3 linked regions of the Lonchura striata genome follow. The protein of the gene in region 3 purifies or fractionates together with the protein of the main gene of each other region. This does not show direct contact. Links are inferred from orthologs where the notes say so. Each region holds a gene or a part of one and is shown on either strand. Other genes may lie near its edges. The genes, in order: SRPK2, USP36 and DGCR8.

The links.
Region 1: the proteins of DGCR8 (region 3) and SRPK2 purify together in Homo sapiens (affinity purification with mass spectrometry; 3 studies listed by BioGRID and IntAct, with this or other methods). This does not show direct contact. The link is inferred for Lonchura striata from reciprocal best matches to the Homo sapiens genes DGCR8 and SRPK2.
Region 2: the proteins of DGCR8 (region 3) and USP36 purify together in Homo sapiens (affinity purification with western blotting; 3 studies listed by BioGRID, with this or other methods). This does not show direct contact. The link is inferred for Lonchura striata from reciprocal best matches to the Homo sapiens genes DGCR8 and USP36.

What each region holds. Positions count from the first base shown.
Region 1 is NC_134607.1:59,971,201-59,980,792, reverse strand, and holds the start of SRPK2 (SRSF protein kinase 2), read right to left. Parts: upstream 3,829-9,592; 5' UTR 3,814-3,828; coding exon 3,798-3,813; intron 3,696-3,797; coding exon 3,611-3,695; intron 1-3,610. UniProt on the Homo sapiens protein: Serine/arginine-rich protein-specific kinase which specifically phosphorylates its substrates at serine residues located in regions rich in arginine/serine dipeptides, known as RS domains and is involved in the phosphorylation of SR splicing factors and the regulation of splicing.
Region 2 is NC_134621.1:11,755,670-11,765,819, reverse strand, and holds the start of USP36 (ubiquitin carboxyl-terminal hydrolase 36), read right to left. Parts: upstream 4,447-10,150; coding exon 4,144-4,446; intron 3,791-4,143; coding exon 3,501-3,790; intron 3,432-3,500; coding exon 3,214-3,431; intron 2,539-3,213; coding exon 2,428-2,538; intron 2,161-2,427; coding exon 2,058-2,160; intron 1,447-2,057; coding exon 1,379-1,446; intron 979-1,378; coding exon 908-978; intron 556-907; coding exon 473-555; intron 150-472; coding exon 29-149; intron 1-28. Other genes in the region: TIMP2 (metalloproteinase inhibitor 2), read right to left, coding at 6,038-6,238, 6,632-6,756, 7,072-7,180, 7,262-7,362. UniProt on the Homo sapiens protein: Deubiquitinase essential for the regulation of nucleolar structure and function. Required for cell and organism viability.
Region 3 is NC_134620.1:8,229,414-8,239,509, reverse strand, and holds the start of DGCR8 (microprocessor complex subunit DGCR8), read right to left. Parts: upstream 4,591-10,096; 5' UTR 4,450-4,590; intron 1-4,449.

The sequences.
Region 1 (9,592 bases), on a different chromosome or scaffold from region 3:
TCTGGTCAGCACCCAGAATACATTCAGTCAGTATTCATGGGAACAGGAACTACCTCATAGATGCTTCTTCTAAGAAAAAAAAAAACTGAAAGAGGCTGAAAAACACTGTGGTAGAGAAAGAATAACAAACAATAGCAGTGCATGACTTTTACTCATTTAAGATCCCATAATAATGTAACATATCCTAAACCTTGTTAGCTATACAATACTTGTAGGTTCATGAAGTTAGACATCTGGAAGTGCACAGTGCAGAAATCTGGCACTTGCCATGTTAGCCAACACGGATGTACTGCACCACTGCAAAGCAGTATCACATGGTCTGTTCGCCTGCTCTAAAGTACTGCTTAAAAACAAAACCAAAATCAGTCTTGGTATCTGATTTATACATTTGCCTCAAAATATACATAATCGTCTCTCCATAGGTTTACACACCATCATCTAGGTTTTTTTTTTTACTTACCAAATGCTTTCTTTTAACTTTGGATAAAGTTAAAAGGTACAGGTGACATGCAAATGAGGACAACTCTAACTGTATATTCACTTTGTTTTTGTCACATTCACTTAAAATAAAGTCAAGCAAAAAAACATATCCAAGGTAGAAGTTTACACAAGGTGAGGCCTATACTACTCTGAACATAAAGAGCCTACCATTCTGCTAAATGGAAAAGGCAGATGTGTCTGAGGCTGTCTGCTAGCACTAAGTGAAGGACAGTAAACAGGTCTGTCTGCCTATAAGCAAGTGTATCTCTCAACAGACTCAGACATCTGTCAAAATCACTATTTCACAGACCCTTCTCAATGCAGACCTCCACTTTAAGGAGAAATAAATGGCAGAGGACTCAAATTAACAATTTTGATTAATCTTTTTAATCTTTTGTCCAGCTGAAAAAATACATTAGTAGTTTGCACACACTGCATACAAATTCATCTATTACAACCAAAATCAAGTGCTAATTTATCATAATACAGTGAGATACTCTATTTCAGTAGCCTGAATGTTTGATTTCAAAGTAAAGCCATACTAAGTAAATTTTACTATTACATGTAACTGTAGCACACTTAGCTTCCATTTTCTTTTCTTTTTCATCCTACTGAAAAAAAATAAAAAAACAAAAAAAAAACACCAAAAAATACAGATTCACCTCCACCAGTTCTCTTCACTGACTTAGGGGGTCAACACTGAGCAGTTACAGGACCAATCTTACAGCCTTCTTTGGCAAATAAGGTCATAACAGACAAAAAGCTACTCAGAGTACTGCAGTTTTTTCTTCTTATGTCATCACCTTAATACTCTTGAAACAAAAGCCTGCAAGTAAGCTACAATACCATATAACTCTCCTAGCCAATTTTACAAGGGGAGTCCTGCAGTTCTCTTTGAAACACATTGTTAACAGCAACAATGGAAGTTATTCCATAAAGCTTTGACCTGGCAGAGAAAAGTTTTCCTAAGAACCACAGTTAAGAAAAAAAAACAACTGCTTTGGATTCAAGGCTAAGTCACAATTTTCCTGTAGTGAACAAGTTCACTACAGGGAACTTACTCCACCCCTCAAATAAGCATTTTCATTTGCAGATACTGTGCATTTGATGTGCATCACAGGTACCATATACCTCTAAACTACTAGAATATGCTGTAGCAGTTGAATTTGAAGTAAGACCAGGAAGAGGACAAAAGAGACACTGGTTTTACTTTGGGAGCCTCAAATATTTGCAAGGAGACTTAAAAACTTGATAGGAGTTTCGCTTTCATACACAAGCATGAAACAAAGTAGGTTGTCTCCAGAGCATAGAAGTGGTTTGAAGAGACAACATACATATCAGAAGAGAAAAGATGGCTCTTGTCAACTACAGCAAAACCACTTGTTTCATAAGGCAACTGATCGGATTGGAGCATTGCGTCTGGAAATGCCAACTCAGCCAGGCAAATGGCCAGATCCTGACTGTGCACCCCGACTTAACAGTAGCCAGTTTCTTCAGCAAACACAAAGACTACCAGTTCTGCACTTATTGTCTGTGAAAGCAAACTTTTAACAAACTCATTCAGCAAAACATCCCACTTAGGTCCCCTAAAAAGTGTATTAAATGCTCTATCACCTAATAATAGAAGTTTATTAACAACCTTGTGGTTAAGACTTAACTGAAAGCTTCAAAAATAACACTGAACCTAGAGCTACAATGAAATTTAACCTATTTCCATGTTCAATCCAGCAAAAGACAAATGCACGTAACATTACAATCTGAAGGTTTTTGAAAACAAGGGAATCAATTCCTGCATATCTTACACATAACATTTGTTGCCATTGCAGTAACTCCAAATTCAAACAACTGAAAGCATAATACAGCTTTTACACAATGCTGGAGGAAACACCACTAGTGGAACAGGATGTGAACAAAGTTAGGTGTCGAAGTCTAATCGCACTACACCAGCACCTCCACCTCATCTATTTTTACCCATCCTAAAGGGGAGAATAGCACCCATTCATTGTAACTAGCAAAAAAAAAAAAGGCAAATCAAATACTTCACAGTCAGAGATATATTATTTCTTCCAGCAGACATCACAAAAAGACCTTGCCTCTTGAATCATTTGCCATAGCACACAACAGCATGTCCCCCCACCACATATCTATCCATCCATCCATCCACCATGCACTGCTTCCCAGCTCTAAGAACAGCCAGCTAGGAAGAGAGGGAATTGAGTGACATCAGGACGTATTTCCTTGTCAGAACAAAGCAGGTAGACTGGATCCCTAAGTAATGAAAACAAAGACAAGAGCCTACTGGCAACTTAACGAGTCACCAATAAAGTCCACTGAACAAAACAAGTGAACGTTAGTAACAGAAGCATGGAATCCTTCAAGGACAAAAAATTAAACAGTCCAAAGCCACACTGTCCTAGGAAATACTAAGGTGTAATAAACACTAAAGAGATGGAAGAATGTTCCCATGTGGTTCAGTGAAAAGTATAATGAGAAAAGATCAACTAGACAGTGACAAGAACATGAAGGGCTTGCAGAAGACAAGGGGAAAACAGAGAACAACCTCTGTTCTTATATCTGTAGAATTAACAGAAACTTAAAACAAGCCAAAGAGATACCAGTATCAGCATCGTTGGCTATTAGACACATCTGGGAAAGGGAAATAGTCTGATGGTACCGAGAAGGATGCAAAAAGGACTGCCTGTAGATGGGACAGCGATACAGAAAGAAACCTCGGAATAGACAGCACTGGAAAAGGAGATCAAAAAGATGAGAGAACTGGAGGGAGAACGAAGAGGAACACGTGGGCTGGCAGATCCCCGACAAACCGGGGGTTTCTCAGGGCCGGCGGCCGGAGTGCCGGGCGCGGGTTCCCACGGGGCACCGGCAGCCCTGCCCGAAGGATGCTGAGCCCGGCGCCCGGGCAGGGGACGGTCCCCGCCCGGCCGTGGCGACATCCCCCGGCCCGGGCGGGGGCTGTGCCCTGCGGGGGAGCCGCCGGTGCCCCGCGGGCGGCGGGACCGGGCAGCCGGGACGGCCCGCGGGGGCCACGGGCGCCGGCAGCGACGCGCAGACAACGGAGGGGTCGCGGGGAGAGGCTCCGTCCCGGCGGGTCGGGGGTCCCCGTACTCACTTTTTGTGGGGCGCCGAGTGCTTGTCCCTCCGGCCAGCCGCCGCGGACTGCTTGGGCCGCCGCCTGCGGGCCTGCAGGGCCAGCACTGCCGGGAGAAGAGAATAGCCGGGACCCGGCGTGAGCAGCGGCGGCGGCGGCGGCCGCGCAGCCCCCCGCTCCCGCCCTCCCGCCCGGCACAGCGCGGTACCTTTGCGCGAGTTCATCGCCCCGCGCCGCGCGCTGCTCGGCGGGCGCGCCGCTGCCCGGCCCCGCGCCCGGCCCCGCGTCCGGCTCCTCTCCCGGCCCCGCCGCCAGCCGCGACCGCGCGCCGGGCACCGTCCGGCAGCATCGGCACCGCCACCGCCGCCCCGCGCCGCCGCCGCTGCGCAGGCGCGGGCGAGCCGCGGGGCCGCGGCCGGAAAGGCGCGGGCGGGGCGGGGCGGGGCGCGGCAGGTGGCGGCGGGCGGGCGCACCTGAGGCGGGACGGCCCCGCCTGAGGCGGGAGCGGCCCCGCGGCCGACGTGGGGCTTTGTCGGGCGGTCGAGCCAAAGGGGAATTAATTTTGCCAAGTTTTGGGTCGTGACCGGAGTAGCGGGGCCATCCGCCCTGTTGCCGTGCCGCATTGGGAGCTGCGGGAAGGGCAGAGGAGAGAGGAGTCGGGCTCTCCACGGCAGCAGCTGGGACGAGATCAGCTTTAGCTTGTCCCGAAACCTGTGTGGGGTGAGATGCCAGAACCAATTATCGTCGTGGCCAAATCCAGGGAAATTAGATTTCCTTAATTCTGATTCTCACTAAGTTGTTTGATTATCATGACGAACAACTCTTGGCAATTGTTTTTTTTCCTGCCAAGGGCATCTTGTTGCCCATGGTACCAGGCACTGCTCAGATTTGGCATAGTAATGACCCGTCAATGGCCCAGTGAACACCGTCCCTTCTTACTTCAGCTGTGCACAGCATAGCTCAGTGCTTGACAGTGTTATGACTGAAATCTTGTGCCATCTATACCTTAATGCCTGGGGCCCGCTATGATCTGGGTCATATCCAAAGCTCCAGTCTAAGAGTGAGGCTTGTCTGGCTTATCTTCACATGGCAGTGGAATTCCAAGGCATGGTAACTGAAAGGTAACGGGGTATGGTCATTAAATTTTGAGACAGAACTGCCTCCCTAAGTGGCAACACAAGGAATCCGTAAGGATGAAGATCCTAAAAGCAGCTATAGTCAAGGCATTATGAGAGTGAAGGGAACTAGCAGTAATTGCTGGTCTTTAAGTAATTGGATCGAGATTTCATTTAGACAGAAAATTGAATCCGTAGGTCTGGTTAGTTCAGCTTAGGAGGGAGAGAGCCACAGAAGCATAAAGCTAGACAGCCCAAAAAGGAGGCACTACACTGTATAATGCTTTTTTGTCTAACTAGAGAGCCTGGTGAACAGAAAACAATAGGACCATGAAGTTTCTAAACTGCAGCTCTCATGAGGCACCCAGCTGCATTTCTAAATTAAAACATTTTCTGTGTCCCATCCTCCATCATAAAAGAACACAGGAAATAAACATTTTTAGTATAAACTGCTACCAGCAATATGCACTACTGGTCGGTTACATTTCTCCCTTACTGTAGTTAATCTTTTAGTTCAGTGTGATAGGTAACCAAAGACTTTATTGAAATTTTGAAGATTTTCTGCCAAGAAAGTTTAGGTGCATGAAAATTAATAATAGCTGAATGTTAAGAAAGCAGATTATGTATTTACTCATTATTTCCAGGCTAATTTTAATTTCACTGGTTAAATGGTGTGTCTGCATGAATACTTCTTCTTGTGTAGTGAATAATAGAGAAGAGCAGCTGATGACGGAGAAAACAATAAGACTTGCTTGTTTTCTTTGTCAGAGCAGTGTTGCATTAAAATTATCTTGTAGCTATGGTTCTAGAGCAGAAACCATACCAGGGTCTTTGTCATCTTTTCAGCAACTTGTGTGCCATTCTATTTGCTTTACCTGGAGTTTTATATGTAGAACTGATTGGACAATTGAGTCTTAGATAAGTACAGGGAGCTTTGCTTACATCAACAGGATTATAAATCCACTAGATCTGGAGTCAGGAAGGAATTTCCCTCATGAGCATAATGTCAGTAACATAATCAGGGCAAGGGAACAATCTGCCAGCACACAGAGAAAGGATTTGTTCGAACCAGGTGGGTGTCTACTACGCACACAATTTCATTCTGTTCTAGTGGAAACATATTTTGGGACTGCATTTTATTGGGGTTTTGTTGTTTTCTTTCTCCGCAACCCTGTCAAGCATAACTCAGAGGATGATCATGCAGAAGTGCATGATCAAAAATCACTGAGACTCTCTATGTATGTATAGAGGATTACCATGTGCAATTAACTGACTGGAGAGTAAATTAAGGTCAGTAGAGACTAAACATATTTCAGAAAATGAAAAAACAAAAACCAACAGCCCCCACCCTATTTCTCAGACTCAAGAGAATAACTCCCTGAGAACACAAATAGCAAATGAAATTCTACAAAATTACAAGAATAATTTTATTTATATGCTTGTTAAGAAGGAGTCTATCCTGTTTATTTGATTTCACTCATTTCAGGGAATTTTTCCATCTTTATTTAAATATACATTTTCTTCAAAAGGAAATGATGAGTCAAGAGAGAAGACAGGCTAAATAGCGAAGTGCAGCTTTTGCAAAATCAGTGTACAACATAAAGGTGGACTGAGCCAGAATATATCTGCCAGTCTCTCTCTGAACACTTTATGGGAACAGGTGTCTGTTTCGTTGCAGGAATTACCATAGAGCTCATTCACTCAGGGGAAAGGCACTGTGAGGTTCAGGTGATATAACCTATGCAGAAGGGAGACACAACAACAGATTTAGGTGATCTTAGCTGCAAACATCAGGAGACAAGAAGAATTAAGTATCAAATTATGGAATGGTATTTTTGCCTGTCTAAAATATAGCTTGGATCTGATACCTACAGATGTTTGGTTTGTTTCATTTTGACCTAGCTTTGAAATATTCCCTTACATATGAAGACTAACTTTTGTACAGAATAAGAAGTTACCTAGCAGCAGTCCTCTAAACATGATACTGTCATCTATCTGAGAATAACTGAAAGCACTTCCTTCAGCAGAGGGATGTTAGAAAATTTTGCCCTGATTTCTGTACCTCTTCCTTTTAGCACTGCTTTTCCCACTCTGTAGTAGCATGGGCTCATATTCTTATTTCTGTGCTTCTCAGAAATCAGGATATGAGCCAACTTCATGCTGCTCTTGCACAGAATGGAACACACATGAAATAACACATAAGGCAGAGGAAGGAAAAAACCCAACAAAATTATAAGTGGTGGAAAAAGAAAAATGTAGTGAAAGGAAATTCCCAATTACAGGCGAGCTCTCATTAATATGCAAGTCCAGCCTTCTCATCCTCTCGCCTTTCATTGTTGTCTCTTGTTCCTTCAGTTCCCACCCCCACTCTGCATTTCTTTAAGTATGACACACCCAAGTAGGAATACAAACAATGAGTCTGTCCTTCTCTTGCTCATTTTAACAATTTTCTATCTACCAAAGTGTTTTTTCCTTCTCTAGTATGTAAACAAAGCAAAGAGGACAATTCTCAGCTTGGTTTTGAGCAACAGAGACAACAAATTTACAGATAGGAAGGATTAAGCAACAGTAGCTAAGTAGCTGAGTTTCTTGTAAGGTCAAAACTATTGGCTCATCAGTGCCTAAGTATAACCAGTTAATATTAATAGGAGCATTGCACAAGTTAAACAATAAAAGTAGTCTATTATCTCAGTAGTGTAATGAGAAAAAATAGCAGGAAGCATGAGTTGGGATTTCCAAAAAAAATAGGAGGTCAGAAATTCCTTAGTTTAGATTCCTGGCTCATTCACTGATTCATTGTGCCCTTCCTAAAGCAAATTACATGACTCACCTGACTAATTTTCTTCATCTATAAAATAGTACAGTGCATGCCAGCTACATAGAGTTTACATTGGTAGAGAACTCTTGTTTATCAAGTTCATTTGGATTACTAATAAAAGAAGAAAGACATAAAGGACAAAGCAGACCGGTTTAACACCAATTTGACATGAAATTAAAGACTAACCTGTGCCCAGAAATAGCTGCATCAACCCAGATATGTATTAAATGTTGTTTAAAATAGGGCATGAACTGGCATGACTTAGACCTGAAATAGAATTAAAACAGACTGGCAATATTTTTATGAAAATATTTCTTCTAGTGTTGAAGCACACAGGTTTTCAGAATGACTCATTCTAGCTTCCCCCATTACTTCCAGCAGACTCCCAAACACCTCTTCAATTAAACTTCCTCCAGTTTCTTGGGTCCTTGTCTAAAATTTCCTCATTAGACTCCACTCCTGGTTCCCAGCTCTTTACCCAGCTTGCCCTTCTCATCTTGACCTGCATCATCTCCTTTTTCAAATAGATTATCCTTTTTTTTTCATTCTTTTTTAATTGGATGGTTTCTTCCTTCATGTTGATTAGAAGTCAGCAAGGCAAGAAAGGATCACTGAAGGATTAGCAACTGCTCTCAGTTTTCTGTTCAACCTAGACACAAGCATTTATAGCAGAAGTTTCTCAGCAGAAATGCAGTGGTATTTTGGATTCAGTCCTACAACTTCTTTCTGATTGGCAGCTATGCAGTCTGGTCATGCATGTGAGAGATTCATCTGCTAAGTAAGCGTGGAATATTTTCAAACTTAATTATTAAACACTCACATGCCTCCAACATGCGGAAAATGCTGTTTTATGAAGTCTCATAATTCGCCCACATTAAAGCAGATTTTCCTAAGGATTTCAATTGCACATCTTTGATATTCAGGCCTTTTTCTATGAAATCTCAGCCTCCTACTCAAAGGTAGGGATTGCCAACAAACGAGATGAGAATCCATTAGAAATCAGGTGCAGGGCTTACCCTGTTTCCCTTTCTCTTGACTTGGACTACACAAATAGTCACAATGAAAACAATAAGGGACAAGCCATAAGCTTAAACGTAATGTAAGAGGAATCAATGGACTCATTTTCTCTGGAAGAATAAAGCTTCTTTCTTCCCTGTAACCTCCCCTGTACTTTTACTTTATACAAGATGTTTTCACAGCCTTCAGAAAAATCAGACACCAGCTGACTAGTAGGATGATGCCATGTTATGTCAGTAGTACCCCAAACGTCCTTTCTTCACACATCCTGCAGTGTGACATCGCTACAACGCCCTCACCAACACCGTTCTGGGAAATTAACAGCCAGTACCCCACTGCTGCTCAGGGAGCACCACAGCTCCTTTACAAACTTCCAGATTACAATGCATTCTGAAATCAACTCCTGTGGGGGGAATGGCCCATAAAGAAACACTGGCCAAACAAGTTAGTCTGGGTACAGTTCCAGAGCTTCATCTTGACAGCAGATTTGTCCTGTTCCATAGGAAGCAACCATTGGTAAAGGATGGCTCAGTTACACTGGCAATGTGCATTAGCAGCTACAGTTATCCGTATACTATTGTTTGCCATTAATGCACAGAACATTGCCTCTTTTGCTTAATTAGTTTTGACTACATACTGAATCCAAAGAACTACTGGGCTAGAGGGGCATTTCTGAGAAGTGGCTGAGGATTCTTTTCATATTATCAAAACAGCATTCTTTTAAAAGTATTAATTATTTCATTACTCAGCATGGGTTATTTCATTCTATATGATTAAAATTTTACAAAGTTAACAGTAACTGGATCTTACAAAGTGAAATCTCAGCCAGCTTCATAGTCATAGACATTACCAGCCTGGTTCATAACTGCTATGAACTAGCCATTCAGTTTCATTCTGTCTGGATAGGTCTATAACATACCATGCAAAACAGCTACAGGAATTTTTCAAATTCCTGAAAATCTTACAGCTAAGTGTTAAAATAAAAGCAGAAATAGCTTAACTTGTTAGCCAACCTTGTTAGCCTTCACAAAGAGCACTCATGAATGAACCTTT
Region 2 (10,150 bases), on a different chromosome or scaffold from region 3:
CCCTGGCTGTGGATCACTGAGCATTCACCTTGGTTATTTTCCTTCCACCTGAGGAGCTGCAACTGCCAAAGCGTTTCAGTGAAATTGTGAGAACGTTGGAGGCTCGGTGGATGGTGAAACGTTTGCTGGCCAACACTTTCTTCCTGCACCTGCCCAGGAAAGCTCAAGCTATTCCAGCTGTTCCAACGTCAGAGGGCTGCCTGCCCTGGGCACCCAGCAATGGCAAACCCGATGGGAATGGTGCTTCTGGCACCAGGCACTGCTTCAGACACCTCCCCATGGCTATGCCCGCAGGCCCAGGTCCTCCTTTGAAGACAAGGGAGCTGAGCAGCAGCAGGCTTCATCACAAGCTTCCATGGCCCTGCACCTCATGGTTTAGCCACGCAGCAGGCACAGAAGCCCTCTCACATTGTGGCAGCCTTCCCAGAGCACACCCGTGGACCCCATTATGCCCCCAGCACCCCACACTCACATGCTGCACCTGTAAGCGTTGTCCCCACCCAGCTGCTCTGGCTTGACAAACAGCTCCAAGGCCCGCACAATGTTTGCGGCTCGCTGCAAGGACAGGGTGGAGGTCAGGGCACGTGGGGCCTGCCCACAGCACAGCCCCGCTCCCTGCAGAGGTGCTGGCCCCAGGAGAGAGCACACAGCACAGGGCTGCAGGCTGCCCCACAGTCCTGAGCCTGCCCCTGGCACAGCGTGGTGCCTGCTCTTCCCCACAGCACTGCCGAGCCTGCACAGAGGGGTCACGGCTCACTTTCAGGCAACAGGCACTGCTCTGTGAGACAGGGAAGGAGGAGCAACAGCAGGAGCTACTTCCCTCCTGCCAGCACTGTCTGCAGGTTAAGAAGCCTCAGAGCAGGAACATTCCTCTCAAGAGCAAAGACCCCCAACCCCACAGCAGTACCTCAACCTCCAGTGTCATGTCCAAGAAAGGGTCATAGGTATCCGAGACAGTCTTGCACTCCAAGCATTTCACTGCAAAAGGAAGAGCCATGGGCACACCCTGGCACAACACCAGCACCTGCCACACCCCAGCACGGCACAGACAGCTGCAGTGTCCCCCAGTCCAGGTCTGGGCTCTAGGATGTCAGCACCAGGACTGACAGCTTTGCAGGGAGAAGGGCTGGCACATCCACTATGTGCTGGGGAAGAAGGTGTTGCCAGACAGCTGGGAACATGGCTCCTTTTGCTGATGGCAGTGAGCTACAGACCCCACAGCTTGGGCCCCACAGTCAATGGCTTTTCCCATTGCCACACCAGGGGTCATGACCCACAAGTGCTGCGGGACTGACCGACTGCAGCTCTGAATAAGTTAAACATGTAAGCCATTTTCCCAAAGGGTTTTACTGCCCAGGCCCAGACTGCTGGTACTCACCACGGGACCGCAGGTAACCACCAAAGATCTGGTGAACCAGAGTTGTGGCCTGGGTCTGGCGATCCAACCTACAGAGAGACAGCAGCACCATATCTCACACTGCAGCAGCCAGCCCTGTCGGACCAGTCAGGACAGCCCCCCTCCACGTGCTGGTCAGTGGCCGGGCTGTGGAGCCCCAGGGGAGGTGGGAAGTCACAGTCCCTGCCAGACTGCTCTCCCTGTGTCACAGCTGAGGGGTGGCACCAGGCTCCAACACACACCTTCCTCTCCAGAACACTGAAGCTCCTGGCTGGAGCTCAGAGCAAAGGCAGTGCTTCCCAGGACAAAGGGCTGGGGGGAAGCTGCCCTTCCACAGCCACAGAGTTGCGGCTAAACTAGCAAGTAGGCCTGTATCCCTCAGCAACTGGCATGCAACTCCAGCCTGTAGCAGCCTCAGGATTTGGGGGCAGGACTGCAGCTGTGCTGAGGTAGAGGAGTCAGAAGAAGATGAACAACAGCCCAGAGTCTTGTCCCTGAGGGGCAGAGAGTTGGACCCCACACCCGAGGCCCCTGGAGTCAGAACCTCCCCATAATAAGGCTGACCTGGGGCACATGTTCACTCCACAGTCCACTCCCGTGAGTGCAGGGGACCAGCAAGGGAACAGCAAAGAGCAGTGATGGGCCATCAGGCCCCACATACTTGGTGTAGCCATTCAGGCAGGCCTTCTGCATGGCATCGATGGTGTAACGCAGGAACTCGTGTGCATCCTCCTGCCTACCGAAGCGCAAGTTATGGGAAATCTCTGCAAGAGAGAGAGAGGACTCAGCATGTGCTGTAACAGATGCCATCCCTCCCTGCCTTCCCTGGGGCAAGAACTCCCTGGTTTGAGTCCCCTCAGCCCAAACCAGACATCAGACTCATGTCACAGAGGAAGACCCTGGCAGCCCAAGAAGTCTCCAGGCACTCCAAGGCTCCATGAGTCATCTCAGTGGAGCCGTTTCCCAAAACATGCCCCAATCCCAATAGTTCTGCTCCCACATTAGTCATGGTGGGGGGCAGCCCTCCTTACTCTTGAGGTCTCGGATGATGGAGAGTGGCTTTATTGCATTTCCACTGTTGGCAAAAGTCTGAATCATGTGGTTCTGCATAGTGCACATCATGCAGAAGCTTCCGTGGGCACCTGGAGCAGGAGAGACAACATGATGCTGAGGACAAAACCAGGAGAGATGGAGGCAGGACAGGGATCTCTGGTCCAGTACAGCCACATTCAGTTTTCCCTATGAGCTTGATGGGGATCAGCCCATTCTGGCAAAGCCCATCACAGGACCAGCCACGGTGGCTGCCCATAAGAGACAGCGTTCACACTGATAGAAAACAGGTCCCAGGTAAGCACTGGACAAGCCCATAGCTTGGCCCTGAGGGGCAGATCCCGTCGGCAGTCCTATGGACCGGGCTGCAAGGCCTGTGTGTTCTCTGTGGTGACAGCTCACAGCAGTGCCTGCCACGCTGCTCTTTTGCACTCCCCACAGTAAGGGGCTATTCAGGACCCCCCAGCTGAGCCCCCAAGAAGCCGGTAGGCCCCATTGGGCCCATCTTAGTCCTGGCTACACCCAGCAGAGACAAAGATGCCAAGCTTGGGAACGTTGCTATCTACGGCCAGGAAAAAGTGAGCAGGACCCAGGAACAGCCTCTTGACAGAGAAACAAGCAGAAAGGAACAGGGCAGGGAAGGTGCATCCTAATATCTGCACTCCCTCACTAGAGCCAGGCACACAGGTGCTGAGCGCAGCACTGTGAGCAGGTCAGGCAGATGCTGCTCGTCCCTCCCGGCCCCCTGAACCGGGGTCCCCACTCACAGGTGCGTCCGTGCTCCCGGGAGAGCAGGTAGTTGGTGAGTGGCGGCGTGTAGGTCAGGCACTGCAGCGCCGAGTTCAGGAAGCAGGTGTTGCCCAGGTTACTCAGCCCGGCGCCCACACGGTGAACCCGCTCCCACTTCATGGAGAGGCTCTGGGGTGGGAAGAGCACCTTCTGCGGCGTGGGGATCCCGTCACCCGCGGCCCTCGGCAGGGCATGGCTGTGTCCTGCGGGGAGCAGCGAGTCAGCCGGGGGCAGGAGCACGGAGGGGTCCCTTCACCCTCTCCACTTACCGGGGGGCTTCTGCCGCTCCGGAAGGGTGCCGGTGATGCCGAGGGGGCGGCCGAGGACCTCGGCCCCGATGTGCTCGTACTTGTCCCGCAGGTGCTCCAGCTGCCCGGCCAAGCCGCGGCGGGCGGGCGCGAACTCGATGCGCTGCTGCAGCACGGAGCGGGCGGCGGCGGCCAGCGGCCGGCCCAGCTCCGCCGCCGCCTCCCGCCGCGCCGGCTCCAGCGCCTGCCGCAGCTTCTCCGCGATCATCGCCGTGGGCGGCCGGCTCGGCGGGCCCGGCGGCCGCGGCTGCACAGAGGGCGGAAAGGGGTGGCTGAGCGGGGGGCCCTGGCCCGGCAAGGCCTGTCCTGTCCCGCTGCGCTCCGGCTCTCAGAGCAACCGGCCGCCGCCACGGCCCTCTCGGCGCGTCCCTCGGCCACCACGGGCACCGCAAACCCCCCGCCGCCACCCGCGACCCCGACCGCCGCCTCGGCCCCACCGCCGCCAAATGCGGCCCGGCCGCTCCCGGCGCTCCGCTCCCCACGGGCGGCCCCGCCGGCAGGGCAGAGGAGCGCGGCGGGACGGGGCGCAGGCCCCGGCGTCCCCGGGCCCGTCCCGCCCGGTCCCGGCAGCGCTCACCATCCGGGTCCCGCCGCACGCACGTGTCGCCACTCCGCCACTCGCCCGCCGCCGGCACAAACTCCTTCCGCGCCGGCCCCGCGGGGCGGCTCGCTCGGCGCAGCCCGGGGACGCGGGCGCTCCGCCCCTTGTTGGGAAGAGCCAAAGGAGACACGAGCTCCGCCCGCCCGCTGCGAGTCCCGGCGCGGACGGAGGCAGGACGGGGCTGCCGAGGCTAAGGCGGCCGGTAACGCCGCGGCCACAGCGGACGGTCCCACGAGGGGACGTTTCCACCCGGGACGGGCCACCATGCGGTACCCCGACCCCGCCCTCGTCCCTTGAGTCATAGTCCCGCCCCGGTCCCGGTCCCGTCGGATCCCGCCCGCATCCGGGGGTGGGCCCGCCTCAGCTCTTCCCCTCCCTGTCTCATTCCATTCCCTCCGGCCCCGCGTGGTTCGCTTCTCTCCGCCGCTGAGGAGGGCCGGGGGGGTCCCGGCCGAGCCGCCGCAGGTCCGAACCGGAGCAGCGGTCCTGCCCCTCTTCCCCCTTGAGCTCCCGGCACGGACCCTCTGCGGGTACCGAGGCGGCTCCAGCGCCGGACGAGGAGACGGAAATCACGGCACAGGGACGACACAGCCGGCGGCAAAACAAGTGGCGATATTGAAGTCAAAGACAGAGGAGCAGCAGCGACAGGAGCACAACGGGTACAGCCATACAGAGCGCCCGGGATGCGCGATCGGGACTGAGTAAAGGTTGGGGTTTTTTTCCTTTTTCTTTCTTTTTAATTTTTATCTTTAATATGTTGAAATTGCCCAGACTGGTCCAGTACGACATCTCAAAGCACAGCATGAAAACCCCACCGGCACAGGGCTGCAGGGAGCATTCCCGGCGCGCTCCCAAAGCCATGAGTGCACGTGCCAGTGCCGCGACAGCTCCGCGGCACACGCCAGCATTGCTGTGGCATGGGGATGGCTCAGAGAACTCGGGGCCGAGGGGTGTGAGGGGGTCACCGGAGGGGACAGGTTTTCCTGCAGCCGCCCTGCTGCCAGTTCCAGGCTCCACTCCTGACACCACGGAGAAGGGAGCTTGCCTGGCTGCAGTGGTGCTGAGTGCCACAGCATGGCCCAGATCTGCACGAGGTGATGATGGACACCCTGTGCCCATGCAGCCAGAGCTTCGGCCCCTGGTGCCCTGCCAAAGGTTCCAGGTCAAACCTGTCCAGTGGTGGCATCTGTAGAAGGATCTGTAGGAGGTTGCAGGGGAACGGAGACCCCTGGAGAGAGGACCATGTGGAGAGGCAACAGTGCATGGGTGTGTGTCAGGGGTCACCCCAGATATGCTAACATGCCCCTCCAGCTTTATGGAACAAGGCACCTGTGCAGGAGTCATCTGGCCCGCTGAAAGGCCCGGAGCCCCTTCCTGGGAGTTGTGCCACATGGTAAAGCCCCCCAGAGCCCCTGCCCAGAGGGGTGCCTTTCTGGCACCCTGAAGGGAGAGGTAGGTGGTGGGGGAAGGGGTACAGCAGGGTTGCCAGATGCTGCGGTGGGGAGGGCTGTGTATCTGGAGCTGTGGGGGAGGCTCTACAGCGGGGCACTGGTAGACCTGCTACGCAGCCAGGGCAGCTCCCACCACTCACAAGGGCTTGATTCCTTCACAGCTGCCAGAGCCAAGCATGGCTGGGGGATTGTGACCCTGGCAGGGAGGTCCCCACACCCTGCTCAGCCCTGCCACGAGCAAAGGATGCCCAGTGCAGCTGCGGGCTGCCAGGAGCCTGCAACAGAACGGGTCCCTGGCCCTGGCCCCCACACGTGTGGCAGCCACTGGGGCCCCCTGCAGCCAAGTGGATTTTCATGCTGTCTCCAGGATTTGATATCAGCGTGGACCAGTCTAACATCTCGCAGGTTTTTTCTACTGGCTACTGGAATGCGCTCGTTTGGCTTAGGGGTCCTCAATGTCGAGAAACTCTTGCTTGGGGGGGGCCATGCCGCGGTACCAGGCACATGAGCCGTCGCTCCTCTTGATGCAGGCGTAGTGCTTCGCCTGCCGCCCATCCACATTGTTCTTCTCCATGGCCCAGTCTGTCCACAGACACTCATCCGAGGAGGAGACGAAGCAGGGGATGGAGAGGCAGCGCGAGATCTGTGCATAACAGAGACTGTCACCCACCAGCCCGAGGGGGCAATGGGCCAGGGGGAGGCAGCATGCTCTGCTTCATCCAGCCCCCAGCTCTGGACAGGGATGCCAGGCTGACCCTGCCCTGTGGGGCATGGTGGGGATGCAACCCCAATGCAGGGAACTGGGCAACCCCTGGTTGCAAGTCCCAGGGCTGGCCTTGGTTCCCAGCTGGAGGAAGACAGAGGCAGGGCAGCCCTTCCTGTCTGCCCAGCCACATGCTGTGCATCCTCCAGGATGCACTGTCCTGTGTCTAGGACAGTGAAGAGCATCTCACTGTGGAGCCCACCCCTGCCTGGGGGCTGCAGACCCTCCCTGGTGTGGGGCAGGGGGCATGCGGGAGGCAGCCTGGTTGCTCACCTTGCACTCACAGCCCATCTGGTACCGCTGGTTTAGGCTCTTCTTCTGGGTTGGGGTCAGCGAGTCCCAGGTGGACACCAAGTCACAGAGCGTGATGTGCATCTTGCCATTGCCCTCTGACTTGCCTGGGGAGAGGCCAGACAGACCACTCAAGGAGATCCCGTGCTGACTCATGGTGCCTGGGGCCCCTCACTGTGCCCTATCCATGGTGACTCTGGGGAGCTGAGGCTTGTTCCCAGCTTGCCCCCACCATGGCCTGGGACTGCTGAGCACAGCCGGGACACAGCCAGGGGTTCCCCGAGGGCCAGTGGCTTGAGCAGGAGGGCAAGGGGAGAATGTGCCCAGGAAGCAGGCACACATCAGGCACCTTGCGGGGCACATGGGGCATCCAGGCCAGCACTGTCCCGACGCCCCCCGAGAGCCCTCCCCGGAGCACTCACCTGCGATGAGATACTCCTTCTTCCCGCCGGTGTCCAGCAGCCGGCCACACACGGCAGTGGATGGAGCCGTGTAGATGAACTCTATGTCCTGGTCAGGGCCCTTGAACATCTGGGAAGCAGAGGCAGGCATGAGTGGCTGGTGAAGGGGCCACCCCATGCCCCAGCCTCCTGACCCGATGTGCCCCATTACCTTGATCTGCTTGATTTCATACTGGATGCGTTTGATTGGATTCCCGTATATATCGTTCCCCGAATCCACCTCTTTTGCAGAGACAGCCTTGGCTCGGATCACTGGAAGGGAGAGGTGAGGTAAGGGGGTGACCAGTCCCTGCATCTCACACTGTCTCCCTCCTTCACAGGGGACTACTGCCTGCAGCAGACCCAACTGCCTGCCTGGCTGCCCCCAGAGCTGGCTGTCACCCGCTGTCCCCAAAGGGATGGAGCTCTGGTACGGGCAGGACAGTGACCAGCAGCATTGCAGCAGCAGCCTCAAGGCCATGATAAGGAAAGTTCATGAGAGGATCACCTGGCCCCAGGGCTGGTGAGGCTGTGGCACGGTGAGCCAGGGGACAGCTCTGCTGTGGCAGGGTCCCTGCGGTCATGCTGCTGCCACAGCTCAGGATGAGCGGTCTGGCATGTGAGTGCTCGGCACGTGGCAGTGACCTGCAGGGGCCAGGCAGGCAAGGCGGGCAGCCAGCTCAGCCTTGCTCACCGGCTGGGACATCGGGCTGGCTCATGCTGGGCAGGTTGCCTGGGTCCCTGCACTGGGAACTGCAGCCCCCAGTTGTGCTCAGCTCCCTCCATCAGTGCAGGGGCTGAAGCTCCCAGGCAGCACCAGGGATGCTGATGATGTAGGGGACAGTGGCAGTGCCAAAGCTAGAGCTCCTGCTCGGCACTCAGCGTATGGAGGGGGCCTGGCTGCAGGGCAGTGGCTGGCAGGGCTCCCTGCTCTGCCATGGGTACCCCCATCCAACAGAAGGGCAGCTCTCCACCCTGCAGGGCTCCCCCTGCCCTGCCAGCCCCCCGAGCACTGTGGGGCAGGGAACAGGGAGCTGGGCACTCTCACAGAGTTCATCCTGGTTCATGTCCCCACTGAAGGGTGCTGGGCTGGCAGCAGCCAGGGACATGCAGAGGTCACCCACTGCCTGGCACAGAGGAGCTTCTCCCACCTGGCATGGTCAGGAGAGGAAATCTGACCGCACTCTATAAATACTGCAGGCTGTGGGGGCACGCAGGCAGGCTATTTAAGCTGAAGGTCAGGGGGGCACAGCCCCACATGGGCACCAGCAAGTGTCAATACAGTTCACTCTGGAAAGGTGAGAGTGGCACCAACATGAACAGGGACCAGGGAAGAGGTTTCCCAAAATGGCCATCTCCCAGTCACAGGCAGCACTCATTCTGTGCAGGGCTGGGCGAAGCAATGGCCGCAGTGAGGGCTTTCCCAACTGCTCCCATCCCTTGGGAAGGGCTGGGCCATCCAGCCACAGTGACAGCACCTCAGCCATGCCTGGGGACAGCACCCACTCCTCTGTCAGCAGTGTGCTGGGATCACTACAGACACAAGCCACCCCTTGCCCCCGCGGCCACCATGGCTCCTGTGAGCCAAGCCCTGCGTGCCATCAGCGTAACTCGGGTGCAGCCAGTGCCGGCTCCCGTGTGGGGAATGGCTGCTGGTTCAGTGGGCTCCAGCCTTTCCATTCACGTGCTGATGAATCACTTGACAAAAATGCAGCCCGATTCTGGGTGGATTTGTTCTGAACAGTGCGGCTTTGTGGAGGGGACGACTGCGCTGTGCTTTCCCCGCCAAGACCCCGCAGCGCAGCCAAGCTGCTCCACACCCGCCAGGAACCAGGGCAGCAGAGGGAACCCTGAGGAGAGCCTGGGATGAGGAGGCTGAGCAAGGGATGGACCCCTGGGTGCCCAAGAACCAGTAGTCAGACCTCCCCAGACACCAATGCCCCCACTGGCCTTGTCACTCACCACTCCTGCTGCTGACGTGAGCAACCACCAGCCAGGGAGCCCAGACCCTCTCTGAAGATGAGCCAAGGCTCTCTGGCTCCTGGGGCACATGGCAGGCACAGCACACAGTTGGCTCTGCTTTACCAAGTTGGACCAGGGAAATGCAGGAAACACTCCTGCCCCAGGCAGGCCAAGCAAGAAGGTGCTCCATGGCAGCAGAGGGTCCCCTGGCAGAGTGGGATTCCCACTGGTGACATCTCCTGTGCGGGTCCCCAGGGCTGCCACTGTGGCCTCCCCACAGTGAGGACTCTGGACCCTGCAGGGACAGAGAGATCCTGCAAGGTAAGCATGTCCCTTGCTGCCCTCTGCCATCAGCATCATTTGGGGACATATAGATCACTTGTGGCACATCCAGTGCCATAAAACCACCAGGCTGTCTCTCTGGGCTTACTAGTGTTGGAATTTCTACTACATGGCCCCATGTAGGGCTACCCCACCTCAGGGCACCACTGTGCTTGCCTGTGCCCCATGGGAAGAAGAGCACCACAAGGACCCTTGGCCATGGGAACCCCTTTCTGGCCCAGGACTTGCAGAATTGCTGCCTCTTCCTCTGCTCTGCCGCCCCAAATCCCACCAAGCCACCCTGCCCACACGCATCCACAGCTGCCCGGGCAGCGCCAGTGCCCACGGACAGCAGGGGCCACTGCTAGGCTGGATGCCCAGAGAACAAAGCTCCCTTCTCCAGGGCAGCTGGCAGCAGAGGGGCTGGCTGCCAATGCCAGCACTGCCTGCTGCCTGCCTGGCACTGCCAGCCCGGGCACCTGACCTTGGTGAGGGCAGTCACTCCAGCCCTGCTTGAGGCCAGTGGAGATGGGGAGACAGCTAACCACCCTGGGAGGGATTCCTGCACCCAGCCCTGACCGGCGCAAGGGCAACAGCCACCTCCCAGGTGTTTGCTGGCATCCCAGTGCCCGCCCGCCCGCCAGCGGCCGCCGCGGCTGGCACCCCGCCCCGGCACAGTGGTGTGAGGATGCTGAGGCTGGAGGCGTGCAGGGCTGAGCAGCGCAGCCCGGCAGCGAGGAGGAAGCGAAGGCCGTGGAGACTCCCTGGTGGCCGGCAG
Region 3 (10,096 bases):
AAGCTGGAAGAAAGCATAATATAGAGCAAACTCTAGTATGGCAACAAAGCAAATTTTGCTGGGGCAGCAGAGGAATTCATATTTTGTGGTGTTTTTTTGAAGCGTGTAGCGTTTTTTAAACCTACTCAGAATTGTGACACATCCAACATGCCGAGTTTGACATGCATTATAAAATTACTAAGGAGAAAAACTGGTAAGAACTCTAAAATAATCCCATCTTCTCTGATACCAACACATTAATTCTCAGATTGAAAAATGGTTCATTCACCAGTAAGACAATCAATTCTATATATCTAATTCCATTCCATCCTACAAGATGACCTAAATACAATGACCTCAGCAATGAACAATTCCTTCATCTTTCAACAGGTTCTGGAATGTATAATGTAGAGAACACCCCTAGAGAGAAATTTGTCTATAAATTTCCTCATCTTCAGATTAAAAAAGTAAAAAAGAATGACAAATTTTTACATTCTTCACAGTAAATCCTAAGTGTCTTAATTCTGAACAAAAGAATCAAAAGTCACAGCATGTGTTCAGTAACTCCTGGAAACTAAATGCCTAAGTCATCTAATTTTTCCATCTTAAAGAGTCATCTAAAGCCTCTTGAAAAGAGCAAGCAGAATTCACACAGAAATGGAATACTGAAGTCAGCATTCTAGAATTTGAAAGAGCAAACCCTTCCCTTGTGTTCAAGGAGCTTCCTCATCCTGACAAAGACTTAGTTTTGACAAGGCTACGACATGATCCTCAATGCCACTTCCAGACCCCCGATACATGTCCTGCTCCTATGCTGAAGGGTTTTACCACCACCAATGTCAAAATAATACTTAACCTTTACCTGCCCAGCTCAGGCAGTTCACTGATACAACATCTCTGCTCTTTGCAGGAAAGATGTCTTGTTATTCTATTCAAGCACTGGTAACAATTATATTCTTGTTGTCTTCCCTTTCTTGCTGGCTGTGAAACCATGAATAGCTGAACGATGAACAGCAAATGACAGCCAGGGATTTTCTGCTCCTCAGCACACACTGGCTCAGGAAAAGTACTAGACCAAAATGGGTTCAAATGAGCTTTTTCCATTTCTAGCCATGAACCTGCCACATCTCTAGGGTAAAATAACAGGCTGGTAGTAATGCCAAAAAGATTTTTGCTTTTTATATGTTTTTCATATATTTGCAGCTCTGTAGACTACTACTATAGAGTTATATAGCTCCTTAATTAACTCTGGTACTTTTCCCACTTAGACTTTAGAGCAATAAGACCTTCTAAACACATTCCTGGTATATTGTTTAGTCTTATTCTAAGCAGGGGACCTACAATAAGACATAATAAGAAGTGGGCAGAGACCCCTTGGACCCAGGGATGGGTTACAAGGGCAACTGAATCTCCTGGGTGTACCTGTTAGATACCCTAATTAATTAACCTTATAATAGCAGAAATCTGGTGCCAGGTGTGCCATCATGACCAGACACCTGGAGGTTTCCAAAGAAAGGTCTGTTGTTACTATTCTAACACTGTTGCAAGGGTTTTTTTCTCTCTTTTGAGTATAGGTAACAGTAGCTCTACAGTTACAGTGGGTTACAATACCTGCCTAAAAGCCACAAAAAGCAAGGCAGAACAAGTGGAACACAAGTCCAATTCCCATCTACTTCCCTGCCAGCTGACATTACAATATGCCCTTTATATCAGGGGCTGGGAAAGAAAAAAACAACAACAACAAAAAAAAAAAAACCCCAAAAAAAAAAAACAAAAACAAAGCAACAAAACCACTGAGCTATCAGGTATTTGAAGAGACAGAAGGGAGAAAAGGCAAAAGGATGAGTTAGATGAGCTTGTAGGTAACAAACAGCCAAATGTGCCTTAGAAAAGGGAATATAACAGCCACACACAAAAAGGCTCAGCATACCAAGTTACATCATAACATAAGTCAGTTTCCTTTTGTGATTCTTCACGGAATTGTCCTGAAATAACATTTTATTCTCCAAGGCTCCACGAAGTTCCATTAACTATTTCCATAAGGATTCATTCCTTCCGAAGAGACAAACACCACTGGCAGCTGCAGCAGGCAGTACAAACACTGAAAATGTGAGTGCACAGCTCATGTTCTGCAGATTACAAGCACATGGAATTTCCACAATTTTAACTCCTTACTCTTACTTTAGCTAATCGTTTAAAAAAGTTTCATGCCACAAAGTAAACTAAACAATGCAGATACTGGGGAGCATATAAATGTAATATAGCAAACTGCACAGGTCCCAAAGAAAGCAGAGTAATCTTAGCCTCATTGTCTTACAGATGTCCTTTAAATGCCAAAAGGAAAAAACCAAATCTACTTTGCTTAGTAAGTACCACTGCCCAGTCCCACAATCAGACAAAAAAGGAAAGGGAGAAAAAACACAAAGAAAAAAGGGTATCCTTTTTCAAGACAGAAAAGAACCCCAGAATCTTAAAATTTGGAAATTTTAGCATCACCCAAACGCAAAGAAAAATTCCTTTCTGTAACAGCAGATCAGCAGTCTAGAAAAGAATTTAATAAAGAACATATTTTCTTTACTAATACACGTAGCTGCAGCAAGGAACAGCATACCACAAATTCTCTCTTCAAAAAGTCACTTTTGAAAAGAAACTGTGTCAGAGACTGCTCACTTCACATTCAGTGAACCCCAAAATGAAGAGTGGCTCAAAGGAAACTCTCCTTATTTGCTAACCAAATACAAATCCTCCGCCTCATCCTCCAGCCCTAAATGGCAACTCAGGTGCTGATCCATTAACCTATATCAAATTAATTTCCCACTCTCAGTCATCTACCTTCTTTTTATGAATACCTAATGTGTCTTTTCAACACATACAACTCTAGAAATAAGTTAATCCTATTTATTACCACTGCTAAAAAGAAAACCCACAAATCCAAAACAAAACCTGAAGAGACAGAATTTATTTTCTTTAAACCAGAACAGAAAATACCAAAAGAAAATGTGCTTTAAGATAATACTACATGTAAGAATTCAGTTCTCCTTATTATGAGCTGTAGTGTAGAAAGATTCTGAAAGAAACAAGCACTTTGTGCAAGTCAGTTAACCAAGGATGGTTAAGAAAATGGAGCCAGAACCCAACAATCATATTATCAGTGCAAATACAGACAAGGCTCAGTAACTTCTCTAGTTCCTAACACTTCATTCCATTTCAGAACGAACAGAGAACATAATTTTGGAAAGCTATCCTCAGAAACGGCAAAACAACAGTTGCTTTTAGAGCTTGAGCAGTGTTCTGGCATGATTTAGATGGCTTGATTAATTATGTAAGACAAGAAATTGATTTACAAAAGACGAAAATCAGAGCCTAGAAAACAGAAAATATAGTCTTCCTTTCCCATTATATGTAAGCTTCTTACTTGAAAAGAAAAACAACAGACATAAGGAACCAAAACCCCTTCTCTTTCTCTAAAGAAGCAAAACAACCTTGATAATCAGAAGGCGGTGCCTAGCGACCCAACTCCTCATCCAGAATTAAAAATAGGAGCCCCCAAGTTTAATTACCCAAACAGAACAATCTCTCAAATCACAAAACAAAAAAGATCTAGTTCCAAGACCTCTAACGGAATAAAGAAAACTGAATGTGTTCACCCAATTCCAGTTTATGGTCGCGCAACGCCTGGGTATTCAGGTCTCAGCAGGCAAACAAACTTTGCAGACAAACCCAAAGCTTAAGGAAAGGAGGTACAAAAGAAGGAACTATTTCCAACCAAAAAAAGATTAAAAAAAAATTTAAAAAAAATGAAGAAAGTTGGGAGCATTAACCTTACAGAGATTGAAGGAGATAATTTACTATTAATAAAAAGAACACATTAGGAAGAATGCTGAGAATTACCAGACATCACGTTACCTTCAGTGCACCAGAACTAAAGGAGTGCCCGTTTGCCCGCACACACGTCGTGCCTTTTCTTCCCAACTCCGCTGCGGGGCCGAGCCGCGCTCCCGGCCCCGTACAAAGGGCTGCGGGCGGCGGAACCCCCGAGGCACGGCCCCGCATCAGCCCGGCCAGGCGGGGCCGCGGGCACAGGCACGGCCTTGCCTTCCCTTCACAACCCCCAACGCAATCCCACGGCGAGGCGAGCAGGGTAGGCGGGGAACGACAAAAAAGTCCCCCAAAACACAAAATCACACAAGAAAAATCCCCAACAAAACCAAACACCAGCTCTGAGCAGAGGCCGCTCAGGCCGGGCGCAGGGGACGCGCCGCACGGCAATGCCCGGCGGGCAGGGCGGCGCCTTCCAGCGCTGGGGACGTCGGTGCTCGGGGAGCGGCTGCTCCGGGCTCCGCGCCCGGGGGCCGCTCCGGGCCGGCGGCGGGAGCGCGGCGGGCCCGCTGGCGCTGCGGCCTGTGGGGCGGAGGGGTTGGCGCCCGCGCGGGCCCGCCCCGCCCGTCACCCCGCGGGGCCCGCACCCACCTGGGCCATCCCCGGCGGCCCCGCCGCTCCTGTGCCGGGGCTGCGGGTGAGGGCGAGTCCGGCCGCCTCACGATCGCCGTCCCGCACTCCGCGCTGCCGCCATCTTTAAACGCCTGCGCTGGGCCCCTCCGCGGCCCGCGGGCGGGACCCCGCGCGCGCCGAGCCAATGGCGTCCGTAGCGAACGCGGTCACCGATTTGAAATCCCGGCTGCCATTGGCTCCTTCCCGTGCCTGTCACCGCGCTCCGCCAATAGGAACGCGAGAGACGCCCGCCCTCACAGGCCCGGGCCGCGGCGGGGCGGGCGGGTCCTTTGTGTGGCCCGGGCACCGCTGGGGCCTTTTCCCCCGTACAAAAAAAGCCACTTTTCCCTGAAAACGCTGTTTTGTATCTTTAAGGAACAAAACTACAATATCACTACAAGGCTGATCTACCTCAAAAGGATAAATCAAAGTAGAGCGTTTCTGCTGCTCTGTGTACCAAGCAGTTGACAGAACAAGTCCCAAATCTGACTGCAGTGTTTAGACAGTATTACTAAATAATTATTGAAAATACCTTACATAATTTATGTAAAATTACTTCGAAAGTGTTAACATTTGCTGTCCTGGTTTGCTCTATTATTTTATCATTTGCGAGCAATATAGAGCTTTTATTGATATACTTATTTATAGGGTTATTTCTTTTGTTGTTCACTAGTTGGAAATCAACATCAGACAAAATACTGTGATAATGGATCCTGATTTCATCACCAATAGTATGTTTGTGCTTGTTTCATGTGTGACTTCAGGATATGAAAGTCTTTTTCTAGTATTTGACTGATCTCATGTTTTTGAGGTCCCCAAATACTACTATGAAAGATAACTAATGTTTTAATAAAACTTTAAAAACTTACTTGGAAGACTGCTGTTAGGTCTTTACATCTTTGTGTCCTGCTGCACCAACACTTCTAATGATAGGGTGATAATTTGGACATAACACCATGGTACCATGTCAACACAAAGATCAGGTTACCAAAACTGCTTTAAATCATTGCAAGCTGCCCTCAAAAACTGAATGCAGTTTCCACTAAAAGCAGTCTCTAATTTTTAATTCCTCCTAACAGGCTTATGCACTCAAACCATTATTTTAGTGATTTTTAAATTATGACTGCTTTTATTAATGCTAAAACAAAGCACTTCAGAATGTGCATTTCATAAACACCCACAGGTTGCAAAACAGCCACTCACATCACACTTCAACTGTCAAAGCTGAGGAAAAAGATCTCACAATTAAGTAAAGAGCTTGAGTTAATGCTGGTATTTGCTGTGTCAGGTCACCTCAAATTGCTAACACTGGTACAGAAGTCTGTCCCTCTCAAAGGACCTACCAAAATTCAAGTTTTGTGACTCACTGACACCCCATTTATGTGACATATAAATGAACTACTGCAGTAAGATCCCATACTTCAGAAAAGAGGTTATATTTTTTATATGTATGTGAACAGCAGTGCTTCAGTTAGGATCAGATGTGGCACACAGAGAGATTTTTGTATAGAGTTGGAGAATCAAAATGCCTGCAGTGTTTAAAAAATGAAAAAAACAGATTTAGTTTTTCCATTGTGCATCTGTTCTCAGAGAATTGTAAGAGTATGTCTTAAACTAATGGTGCAACAGCTGATTTTTTGAGACACAGACTCTACAAGGAAATAGACCCCTAATTTTATAAACAAAAGGATAATAATCTATTAACAAAACAATGTTTTCATCCAAAAAATGCTCAAATTGTAGTTAAATTTTTAAACCCCTTCAAGAATTAAACTTCATCTGCTCTCATCTGCTCTAATAAGGTGCAAAATTCACCTGAAAATTTTCATCACCTGGACTTCTGATGGAAGACTTGTCAAGCATGCACAAAAATCTTCAGTTTTTGAATTAGAAGTGTACAGGTCCACCTGCATGGTGCGATCAGGATTAACCATAATGCCATGAAGTGTTATCTACAAAAAACCAGTTCCTAATTACAAGGAGATTTTCATATACAAGATATTGAAGGCTGTACAGAAACTACTGCTGTTCACACAAAATACAGCCATCAGGCCTGTAAAGACAGAACTATGAGCTTCCCAATAAAGTTAACAGGCTGCATTCATTGGATCGAAAATTAGGTGGAGCCAGTGGCTTTTTCATATTCTTCCTATGTCAGTAACTGCAGCACATACTGTGCTGTTTCAACAGCAAAAGCTTCTGCACGACAAGTTTTGCTCAGCCTTCATTACTTTTATTTCAGTAAAATAAGTTGCACTGCAGCTTTTCACTTTTTTTTTGGGGGCATTGGTAAACTGGTATCTGCTTGCATTACATATCTTTGTCTTTTGCTTCTTGCTGCAATCTGCTGTCCTCAATCTAATCTGTCACACATCACAGCCATGGAGAGATGTCAAAAGGACCCAATGAGCAATCTCAGGTAAGTTCTTGAATGTCAAAAGAGGTGGTTGATTGCTAAAAGAACTAATCAAAGTAGACAGAGTCTTTGGCTCAAGGATACCACACAATTACTAATCTTGCTCTTGACATTGACAGATTCAACATAATCTAAATTGTGTTGTCTACAGAATCACATATGACTTCTGATTTTCCTGTTGGAAATACTTCAGTCAAATGGTTCTCCCAAAATTCAGACTGCTGGCAGAATTTTCCCAATAATGCAGACATTTTTCTAAAGACAATATTGCTTAAAGTGTGATATGATGTCTAAGTGGTCAAATAAAAAGTAACAGCTTTGCATTGAAATCTGGAAGTTAAAACAAGAAAAAATAAGACCAAAACCAAGTGACCTTCACATTACAAACTGGGCTGTACAAGCCATGCAGAAGGAACATTCTGTTCAATTGCCAGTTGCACCTGGGCTAGTGTTATCCTACAGTGACTGAGGTTTCCCTTAGTTATTCTTCATACATAGCACAAACCTATTCCTATGGCTGAAGATTCTGCATTCTTAAAATACACTCAATTTATCTAGGGGGGATATTAGAGAAACAGAAATAATATCTATGTGGGACAGAATAGTAGTCTTCAAACTTTGATTTCTGTAGGTCCTGTCATCCAAATAGTTCAGAACACTGTGCTGAAATAGGCAGTACTTATCTGTTCTTTACAACTTAAAATAAGAAACATCATCTGAGTCAGCCTCATGGCTGTATGCACATTGTGCATTCTGGCTACCCCAGCTGCTGTTGCATGGTAGTTTCTCTTGTGAGCCATCATACACCATGAAGTTTGTAACTCAAAGCTGTGGTAACAAAGCACACTTGGTTGTACACACTTTGTGTGAACTACAGCTAAGAAGCTGCTGCTGCAATCCCTCAGCCTGGACTCGTCTCTACATTGCTGGCAGCACACAGACATGAATCAGGAGCGTAATCTCTGGCTGTCAAAAATCCAGGTGTAGTTGCACTTATAGAAGTAAAACCATAAATGTCAGTACCTTTGTTTTCCCTGACAGAGGCCAAATAAATTACAGTTCTGAGAGCACAGTTGTGCTGCTAGGGTTGTTTTTAATGCAGCTGCCATCCTGGGATTGCTTTGCCAGTCTAAACTCATGCACATTACAAGAGAGAACTCAGACTTGACTGGCATAATATATTGATAAAGAAAAGAAGAAAATTTGCAACTGCTGTATTGCAAAGACACTGACACAACACATCTATATATGCTACATTCAGAAGTACAAGAGGCTAACATAAGAAGATTTATGCAGCAAAATAATTGGTGCAGAGAATTTAAATCTTCATGCAAGGTGCATTTCAGACAGTTTTGCTCAGGTTAAAATCATTACCTGTTGGAGAACACTTGGTCCATTCCTCAAGCACCTGTTCTGTTCCATCTGAAACCAGCCTAGACCCTGGCACCTGAGGCTGCCCTGAAATGTGAGCCAAGGCACAGTAAACAGGGACAATCAACAAGGAAAACTATGTAAAGGCACTAATCAAACCAGGGTGATAATGCAGACCCATCTGTAACTGAGAGGACAGTTAATTCTTCTCTAAATCCCAGCCATACCAGTGAGACAGAAGAAACAGGAGATGGATAATGCATCTGACTAAGATGTGGTTTTACATAGTTATTTTGAGTAGCTATTGACAGCAAATATAGCGTAGGGAAAGGAAAAAAAAAGCCTAGCTTTCTCATTCACCTTTTCCTTGCAAGAGTACATTCCTTTAACAGGGGCAAAAACCTCAAGCATTGAATACTAATTACAATGGCATACCACAAAAAGAGACACTACTGGCCCCACATATTTTCTAGTTTATCATTTAATGTATGTTAATTCACATCTGAAAAGTGATGTGGTTTTCTCCACTGAACAGAAGCAAGCAATGTGTTTACCCAGTCGGGCAAGTTACTGACCAGAGCTGGCTCTGTGTGTCAGGAGAGACACCGATGGAAAACACTCCAGCATCACCAGAGGGAAGCTGGAAAGCACCTGAGTGCCTTAGCAGGCACTGTCACTCAGAGGCCTCAAAGAGAACAGCAGCACAAACCAAGAGTATCATTCTGTATTCTCTGTTTTCCCCTTCCTCTCTCCATCTTCTGATCTGCATTTAGGTTTCAATAATTTTTCTCCATGTATCTTTCTAGTGCAAAGACATGACAATTTAATGTGCATCAGCAGAGATACTGCTTTTTTTCTTATTCATATTGTGCATAACTTATACATTGTCATTTTTGGCTATCCTGCTTAATATTATAATATTTATTATTTCTTCCTCATCTGTGATCCTATGTTCAGTGCTTATGTCTTCTATTTCAAAAGACAGGGTAAATTTGAGCATGTCAACTGGCTTGCTTTCATTCAGCTTCTAAGTTCTTGATACACAATGTTACACAGATAATTTATATATATATATATATGAGAAACATATTCAACATTTCTTCAGTCTGTTCACCTTAACCTACATTTTGCAGCATGAGTCACACTGATGGGTTCTGTAATTCTCACAGTTCATGTCTCTCCAGCTGATTGCAGCACTGATTCTATTTTCACCAAGTCAAGACTATTTCCTAGATCCTTAGAAGCTATCAACAAGACTTCTCTGCAGAAAATGAATCAGATGAAGAACATCAGCCATGTCCTGTTACATCAATTTGAATGAAAAAAACCTAACTCCTACTATCTAATATTCCATATAAATAGGGATACTTGCTAAGCCATAAATGTGCATTAAGTTCTATAGGCTAAAACTGAAATGTGAGATACTTTAATTATTGCCTTATTACTGCTTAGTATTGCATAGATTAATTCCAAAATTAGTTATTTCCTTATAGTATGACAAAAACAGTGTTTCAAGTCTTATCAATATTTTATCTTAATTATTCAGTTTGGTGTATTTCACTTGTAACAATAAATATCAATGAAGTTTTGAACATAGAGGAACTCCAAAGGCCCAACTCCTCCTCTGCTCTGTTCAGGTGTGTTTTATTAAGCTGCTACAAGGGAGATGAGACAATTCCACCTCCACTGCAGGGGCCAGTACAGCAGAACATTAATGCAAGCTCTAATCAGTGTAATAGGAGTCTCAGGTCTGCCAAGGATCCAGACCTTTTCCACAGTGAACAGGGATTCCCCATCCTCCAGCAGCATTTTGTGAGGCTCCACTTTCCCCTAAGGAAG